2 linked regions of the Cricetulus griseus genome follow. The protein of the gene in region 2 purifies or fractionates together with the protein of the main gene of each other region. This does not show direct contact. Links are inferred from orthologs where the notes say so. Each region holds a gene or a part of one and is shown on either strand. Other genes may lie near its edges.

The links.
Region 1: the proteins of Lsm1 (region 2) and Lsm6 purify together in Homo sapiens (co-immunoprecipitation; 3 studies listed by BioGRID and IntAct, counting the BioPlex papers as one, with this or other methods). This does not show direct contact. The link is inferred for Cricetulus griseus from reciprocal best matches to the Homo sapiens genes LSM1 and LSM6.

What each region holds. Positions count from the first base shown.
Region 1 is NC_048596.1:154,693,715-154,698,035, reverse strand, and holds the start of Lsm6 (U6 snRNA-associated Sm-like protein LSm6), read left to right. Parts: upstream 1-1,424; 5' UTR 1,425-1,562; intron 1,563-1,965; exon of another isoform or gene 1,966-1,984; intron 1,985-2,824; exon of another isoform or gene 2,825-2,894; intron 2,895-4,321. UniProt on the Homo sapiens protein: Plays a role in pre-mRNA splicing as component of the U4/U6-U5 tri-snRNP complex that is involved in spliceosome assembly, and as component of the precatalytic spliceosome (spliceosome B complex).
Region 2 is NW_023276807.1:57,996,465-58,000,995, reverse strand, and holds the start of Lsm1 (U6 snRNA-associated Sm-like protein LSm1), read left to right. Parts: upstream 1-1,602; 5' UTR 1,603-1,936; coding exon 1,937-1,982; intron 1,983-4,395; coding exon 4,396-4,464; intron 4,465-4,531. Other genes in the region: Bag4 (BAG family molecular chaperone regulator 4), read right to left, coding at 1,159-1,431. UniProt on the Homo sapiens protein: Plays a role in the degradation of histone mRNAs, the only eukaryotic mRNAs that are not polyadenylated. Probably also part of an LSm subunits-containing complex involved in the general process of mRNA degradation.

The sequences.
Region 1 (4,321 bases), on a different chromosome or scaffold from region 2:
TCTGCTCACCAGCCAAGCTCAATGGCTGCATCCCAGCTTTGTGGCACAGTAAAAGCAGCTCTGAATCTATCTCTACTACTTATTTCAGTCTACATATGTAATGTATATTTGATAATTAAAGCAATCAGTGAGGAACACAGTACAATTCTTTTGAGATAAGGTTTCAAATAGCCCAGCTGATCTCAAACTCATTTTGTAGCCTCAAATGAGCTTGGATTTCTGATCCTCCTGAAGCCACACTTGGGTGTGCACTGCTGTGCCCACCACTGTGGTGCCAGAGATGTTAATGCACACCAGGCATGCCATCAACTGAGCCAAATCCTCAGCTTCCAGTTTGATTTACAAAGCAGCCTGTTTTAGGGACAGGGCATAGCACTTTTCTTCTCTGCAGACAGTTATTTGATTTAAATGTGACTTTACTTGTGTTCTTAATTTTATATTTTACATTTCAAGAGCCTAAAATGCTGTCTTATCAATGTCTGTAGTTGACGGTCTTCGAGTCAGCTGAGGTTTTACAGAGGATAGAAAGATATGGCTGTTCCTTACCAAATCTCAGCCAGTTCTCTGTCTGTGGCACCAGTCACTGGTCTGTTTCTTTCGCCATTCACTAAGAGGCTCTTAGGAAAGGAGGAACCACTTTCTGTCTCAGGAAAAAGTTCTGCATTGTAGGACCTGTAAGATCTAACAGGGTGTGTAGCTGTTGTTTGAAGGTCTTATAACTGTGTTGATGATTAAACATCAGAAACAATTAAAATATAAATCTTAAATACAATATAAAAGAGAAATTAAAATATAAATGTAAAATATAAATGAGAGCATGGGTGTAGAAAAAAAGGAATCAAGTCTTCCTGTAATCTCTTCCTTCCATAAACAGTCAGCATACACTAAGAATTCATGCATTATCCCCAACCAAGTTCCCCCACAGCACTTAAATGGTATCTGCATGCTGTTTCCAATTAAACTAATTTGTAATGTCTTTTTACAATTGGCGCCATTGTAATAGAGTTGCTTTAAATTATTTATATTTTTGTAGCAAAATTGCTATGGAAACAATCTCTAACAGTAACTTAAACTTCATACATTTAATTAATATTCAGAAGTCGGTTGGGAGCTTGAGGCTTTTAACTTTTATTTGCTTTAAATTATTTAAGGCTATTTGGGGTACTTAATAGCCTATTATTTTAATCGTAAGTTTCTGTTTCCTGTCATTTTTAAGGTATTCTTTACTGTATTGGAATCTCAAAAGATTACTTCTAAATTTTTTTTCTTGGTTGTTTTGCTTTTGATTCGATTTTCTGGCAAAAAAAAAAAAAAAAAGACGGCAACATCAGAACACCGGCATTTACTTCAGCCCCTGGATGCTGAATTCACCACTGAAGAAACCAATTCTTGGAAGTGAGCGTTATGGAACGGCCTGATCCTTTTGGTCCCCGCGGGCTGCCGTAGGCAAGGAGGCCGCTGATTGGGTGAGGCAGCGAAGCGCGCTGCCGGGGGCGGTTTCGGTTTTCGCCGCGCGCGTCCGCGGAGGCCCGGCCTGTGAGGGCTCCGGATCCGGCTGCGAGGTGAGCCCGCGCGCGGCCCGGGAGGGAGGGGCGGTGGGGCGGGTGGGTGCTTGGAGCGGAGCGGTCGGCCTAGGCCGCGGAGGGCCGGGGCGGGCGGGGTTGCGGCTGGAGCCCAGGCCGGCCTGCGAGCAGCGGAAGGCCGTCAGGGCCACGCGGCCTCGCGCTCCCGCGCCGTGCGGTCCTGCCGTGCGCGCGCCGGGCGCCGGCTGTGTCAGCCCGGGTTAGGCGGCCGCCGCTCCCGCGCCCCCCTCCTCCGTGCGCGCTCGAGTCCCTCCACACGAGGACACGAGGAGCCGGGGAAAGGATCCCTGCTGGGCGCTTCCGTCTGCCCACTCCTCTCCTCCTGTGTGTGCCTGCTTCTCTTTCCGCTAGTACTACCAGAAATACTCGGTCTTCTGTCTACGTTAAACACATGCAGCCAGGTGTAACTTTAACATTCATTGCTTTTGTTTTGTCATTGCCTGGGTCCCATAAGTGACTCCGGTGTTTCCCCGATGGCTTCATCTTAGCGTCCATGCGATCCTGGGATGCACTTCCCGCCCTTGACTCTATTTCTCACCATCTCCTTGGACAAGTTCTCAGAGGAGAAGTCATTGGGTTAGATAGTTCTTGCACGTTGCCGGGTTGGTTCTCTTTAAAGTGTTAGTAAATTACCTCGTTCGTGTGTGACACCGGTTCTTTCACCAAATCCGTGAACACGCCTCCTGTGTTTCTAACAGTAGCAGAGTACAGCCTCTCTTTGGAATCGTTACTGATCTCGTTTAAACTTGCACGGAGTTTCTCAGTCTGGCCTTGAACTTTGGATCTTCCAGCAGTTGTGGTTCCGGGGTTACTTCAGGCATTGTTATTTTTTATTGTAATGCCTGTCGTTCTGCCATCAAGGTTTTCCTGCCGAATCTTCGTAGGAGGGGCAGGGAGAGAGAGAGAGCTGGTATTAACTGTGTGTGTTGGTATTACTGCACAACTTAACCACGTGCTTACTGGTATTCTCTCTCTCTCTCTCTCTCTCCCTCCCTCCCTCCCTCCTCCCTCCCTTCCTGTCTCTCCCCTCCTCCTCCCCCGTGTGTGTGTGTGTGTGTGTGTTGTGTGTGTGTGTGTGTGTTGTGTGTGTGTGTGTGTGTGTGTGTGTGTGTGTGTGTGTGTGTGTGCGGTGTGTGTTGGTATTAACTGTGTGTGTGTTGGTATTACTGCACAAGTTAACCAGATGCTGGAACAGAAAGACATAGTCAGTAACCATCTAGCATAACTCCCTTATTTTTCAGATGAGCCTGGGGCCATGAGAGGTGAGATGGGTAGCAGAGGAGATTAGAATACAGGTTACCTGCCTCCCAAGTGAGTACCCTTAACTACTGCATCAGGTCTTCTCTCACTGAAGGGTGGCCTAATAGAATTTTTTTTATTTGATTTTTTTTTTAATTCCCTGGCTTGCTTTCTCCTTTTATAATGAAGGACTGGAAAATAGAAAAGTCACTTTTTTTGTGTGTCCAGAACTAGAAATTTATTAGAATGCCAACCCATTCAAGATTTTAATGGTTGTTTTCAGGTTCTCAGTGTTGGGATAAAATACTCCTGATAAGTAAGACAGTTGTCCCTCAGTATCTGAGAGGGACTGGGTACAGAGCTCCCAATATTAAAAAGTGCATGGATATTCAAAGTTCCATATGTGTGTTTGCATATAACCTATGCAGTCTTCCTATGTTGTTCACATCATCTCTAGATCACTCACAATGTGTAATAGGATGTAAATGGTTGCAATGGAATATTGCTTAGGGAGTAATGACAAGGGAAAAGCCCTTTAGCTCTGTAACAGGTAAAACCATTGGAGCTGTAATTGCAACTTCATGTTACTAGATGTTGGCTGGATACACAGATAAGGAGAGGTGACTAGTTTATGTACTCATCATCTGGTTCTCATTTACATCTTGATTATTCTAAAGTACCTTGCTTGTTGTTTAAACCAGAAAATAAGGTTTGAAGAGGAGGGGAGGAGGTGGTAGTGGCAGTCATTCTGTGAGTTGACACGTTGCATCATATAGTCCTTTGTTGTAAAGGACTAGACTCTACACCAGTGGTTCGCAGCCTGTGGGCCGAGTCCATGAAAGACCCTTTCATGGAGATCACATAGCAGATATTTACATATGATTCATAACAGTAGCAAAATTACATTTATGAAGTAGCAATGAAAATAATTTTATGGTTGGGGTCACCACACATGAGGAATTATATTAAAGGGTTGCAGCATTAGGAGGGTTGAGAACCACTGCTCTACACTGTAGACTGTTGAGGGATGTCCTTGGCTTCTCTTCACTAGAGTCTGATTCCCGCTTTGACAATACATAATGTCTGTAGACATTTCCAAATGTTCCTAGAGGGTGGGGCACAAAAATCACCTTTGGTTGAGAACAACTTGCTCTTAGGAATTACCGTAGGCAACTTGATGTCAAAGTGCTTATGGTCAAGCCTGGCAACCCGAACTCAATTGCTGAACCCCACTTAGTGTAAAGAGAGAACAGACTCCCAAAAGTTATCCTGTGGCATATGCTTATTGCCCCTGCCCCACTAAATAAAACAAATGAATAAAAGCAATAAAAACAAAAAGCAAAGGACAGCCTTTTGGCTGAGTTAGCTACAGCAATCTGTGTCTGAACAGGCATCTTTGTAGATGTGGGTGTCTTGCCTTCTAAGCAAGTGCCCCTGCTTTCCTTTCTTGTATCACCTACTGGTCATTCATGAAGGTCTTACTGACTAGCAGGGTTAGA
Region 2 (4,531 bases):
GGTGGCACTACATTTAAATGAAACTCAATCCTTGTGACTACCTTCACCCACCATGCATGATCTATTCAAGGTTCATCCACGTTGAAACAAATTGAATAGAGAATTCATTACTTTCTGGATGTTATGTTTTAGAACATATGCTATTGTATCCAGCCATTGGTAATCCAGCCATCAGTTGATAACTACATGAGTTTTTGGCCGTTGTGATTAATGATGCTATGAAGACATGTTAAACAACTTTTTAGGTGGACATGTCTTCCATTTCTTTTTTGTTTTTGTTTTTTGTTGTTTTCCATTTCTTGAGTATACTTAACAAGTGGATCTGCTAGATCACAAGCTAATTCTCTGCCACAAATTTTACAAACTACCCAGCTATTTCCCAAAGCACTGTAGTATTTTGCAATCCCATCATTAATGATTGGGAAATTTTATAGTTCATTTTCAGAAAATAAGGATGTTATGAAGGCCAAAGATGTGTGCCACCATCCTATACCATTTCTCCTTACAAGGAAAAAAATGGGAATACATTTTTGGCATGTATACAGGTAATAAAATGTTACAGGTCCAAATATATTAGGCAAGTTAATCTCCCAGAGCCGCCTTCTTTCACAAATGGGAAGCATTAATAACATCTGTCTTTCAGCCTTGTGGTGATTAAATAGAACATAAAGGTACTTTGCAACATTGATTATTCGTGATTCAATCCCAGGCAAAGATTTAGTGATAAGGGACTAAATGATGGATCCCCCCCCACCCCTCCCCCGCGGGAGGGGCTGCTGAGTAACGCCTGGGACTGCAGCTGCCCGAGCCACGCAGGATAAATTTTTACAGCCCAATCACCCTACATTACGCTCTCGGGAGACAGATTCCTGCAGCCTGCTACTAAGCTTAGGAAGTCAGCGCAGAATAATTTTTTTTTTTTTTTTTTTGGTGATAACTGGCACTCTTATGACGGCTGAAGTAAAAATGAAGGGACAAATGGAACACAAGCATCTATCCCCTCACTTACGTCTCCAGTCTCTTTCTCTGCACCTTCCCCAGAAGAAGAACAAATCAGAAACCCGAGTCGTAACAAACCCTAAGTATAAAACCCCCAATGGTCCTCACCTCCGCCCAAGACTTCCCTTCTGGGTCCCGGGAAAAGACTGCGAAGCTTACCTGGTGTGCGCCTCCGGCTCTGCTCGGCTCTGCCCAGGCGGCTCCGGAGGGGTAGTAGGCATCGCCACCTGCGCCTTCTCCGGGCCAGGTGGTCTCGGCCGGGGCGCCCCCGCGCCCTCGCCAGGAAACTGGAGGCTGGGGAGGCTCGGGCCGAAGAGGAGGGTATAAGGGCGGAGGTACGTGCACCGGGACATCGCCACCCCCGGGCCCATAGTAGCGGCCGTACGAAGGGCCGTCACTGGGGCCGTAGCCCGAGCGCCTCAGGGCCGACATGGGCTCCGCTGCCGCGAAGCGCTTCCCGCCCCCCACGGCCGGCCCATTGCGCAGGCGCCTGCGGGCGACAGGTACTGGCCGGCGGCGAAAGGGGTCGGACGGCTGCAGCCAATCCCGAGCAAGTCCCGCCCCTTGCACGCCGAGCGCCGAGCCTGGGATGGAGCGTACCCCTCACTCTGGGGCTCGGAGCAGGAAAGCGGAGAGACACGGTACTCGTGACGCGCGGGGGAAACGCCTGTCTCCCCGCCCTCCGTCCAGTCGATCTGGACTCCACTTCACTGCCCCGAGAGGAAGAGACGCTGCCCACCACCGCTCGCCCGGCACGCCTCTTTCTGTGGACGGACAGGCGATACCGGAAGTGGGTGGGGTAACTTGAAAGCGCTTCCGGCGACTAGCGGCAATTGAGTTGCAGGTGAGCGGCGGGTTCCCGTCCGTGTCCCGCCGACGGGCGACTGGATGCCCTCGCCCACCGTGGCTGTCCAGGGCAGCCTTGCCTGAGCTCAAAATGAACTATATGCCCGGCACCGCCAGCCTCATCGAGGACATCGACAGTGAGTACCTCTCCCCGGGGGAAGCCTGGTGTGGGACCTTTCCTCGAGAGGGCTCCCCTCGAGACGGAGCTTCGAGAGTGAGCCCTGGCCCCGGCGGGCTGGTCTGCCTTCACAGCCTCGGAGCCCATCCCTAACCTGCCTCCCCTGCCCCTGGACTGGGGACCCTCACCCTGTGGAACTCCTTCCGAGGGGCGCAGCATCCGACGTGCGAACTGTGAAGTGACCCAGGCGACTTCCTTCGTGTACCCTGCCTTTCCTGCAAGTTATACTTGACGGCAGATGGTTGAGTGCTTCTAGGAGGACCCACCAAAACCCGAAAATGTTAAGACGGCAGCAGTTGAATTTAATTAGCAGTCAGCGCAGGTTTTCTGTTGTGTAGCCCCTTGCAACCTTCTTTTTCTATGAGGGTCGTTAGCGCTTTCAGATTAAAGTGGGGCAGGTGTCAGCTGTAATAACTGACTTTTTTAGAAAGGCGAAGTCTCTTCAGACTTACTTTTTTTCTGTTCGACAGCTTTGCTTTTCCTGAAAATAGGTCAGTTCTGTATAAACCAAGAGGATACAATTTCTTTTAAGGATTTTTATTGTTTATATTTGCATGTCTTGCATGTACGTGCACCGTGTGCGTGCCTGGTATCCACGAAGTCAGATACCCTTTTCTTCATCAAATCCTCTGGAATTGGAGTTGTTTTTTGTTTGTTTGTTTGTTTTGAGACAGGGTTTCTCTGTGGCTTTGGGGGCTGTCCTGGAACACACTCTGTAGACCAGGCTGGTCTCCAACTCACAGAGATCTGCCTGCCTCTGCCTCCCAAGTGCTGGAATTAAAGACATACACCACCACTGCCCAACCTGGAACTGGAGTTAAGGACAGTTGAGAGCCACAGTGTGGGTGCTAGTAACCGAACTCATCCTCTGTAAGGGTAACATGTGCTCATTTGAGCCATCTCTCCAGCCCACACTTTAATTTTTACCCCTAAATTCTTACCTGGTTCCTCAAACAGCTTTTTCTTGTTGTTTTGTTTTTTTGAGACAGGATTTATCTGTAATATCACTGGCTATGCTGGAACTCCCTCTGTAGACCAGGCTAGCTGCCTCTGCCTCCCGAGTGCTGGGATTAAAGGTGTGCATCACCACTGTCCGGCCTTTCACACAGCATTTTAAAAGCAACATTAAAGAAAAAAAACAAGATGTATATGAGTATGTATGTCTGTGTACTCTGTGCTTGCCTGCTGCTGGGGAGACCAAAAGAGGAAGTAGCATCCCCTGGAACTAGAGTTATAGGGGTTGTGAGCCACCATGTGGGTGCTGGGAATTGAACCCGGGTCCTTTGTAAGAGCAGCCAGTGCTCTTAACCACTGAGCCCTCTCACCATCCCTCTATTGATTTCTTGGTCTCTCTAACACTAGTTCTTGCTAATTTCCTTATCTTTCTGGACATTACTGTTTTCTAGATCAGGTGGTCAGAGCTGCCTGTTTGGTCTGTTTTCTCTAAATCTGTAGGCATTATAGACCTATTTTAGCATCGTAACTCCTATTTTCCATGTACCAGTCTTCAGTGTTTTCTTATTCCTTTTGAAGTTAAAGCTTGCCTCTAATACTTTTCTGACTTTAACTCCTGTTCTTTCCTTTAACTTTGAGACAAATGTTAATATACTACTTTTCCTCTGTATGCTTTATTTATTAGATTTTTTTTTTCATTTTGCTTTCCCTTTTCATAGACAAAATTTATCCTTCTAGGTCCAACTGGGATAGGTGTAGTTTCTTTCTTAAGTAAGATTTGCTTGATTGTGATAATTAGTTGTAGCCTAATATGACTATAAATTCCTTAGGGAAGAATCATAGCTCCTCTCTTCATATAGAAAGTACTTTATGCTGGGCATTGGTGACTCACACCTTTAATCCCAGCACTCAGGAGTCAGAGGCAGCCGATCTCTGAATTTGAGACCAGCCTGGTCTACAGAATGACTTTCAGGACAGCCAGAACAAAAACCAACAAACAAAAGTACTTTATGCATAGCATTAAAGAAATGAGTGGTTAAAATCTTGTATGCTTTTCTAATATCTGGCTTATTCTAATCCTTTACTGTCACTCTAAAGTTATCTCTTCAGAGAGAGCTCCCCTCCACACTTGGTATAGCCACTTTGGTGTGTTCTTCATTCTACTATCATGCTGTCTTATATATTATTCTGTTGTATTTGTCACATGACGTAATTCTACCACTGAGTCTTTCCAACACTGATCTCATCTAAATCCCAGCCTGCCCTAGTCTTCCCTCCCAAGTCTTACAACGAACACCACCCTAAAAACATTAGAAGAGGGTCCAGCTTAAACAGCTAGTAACTAAATTTTTATTGTTACCATATAAGCTCACTGGAACTGTCGCTTTTGTTTTAAAGATCTTTTCTCCTTTCCCCAGAAAAGCACTTGGTCCTGCTACGAGATGGAAGGACACTTATAGGTTTTCTAAGAAGCATCGATCAGTTTGGTATGTATTGTTATGAACTCACCCTTTACTCAACATTGAATTTTTTTGGTGTCATTTTATATTCAAA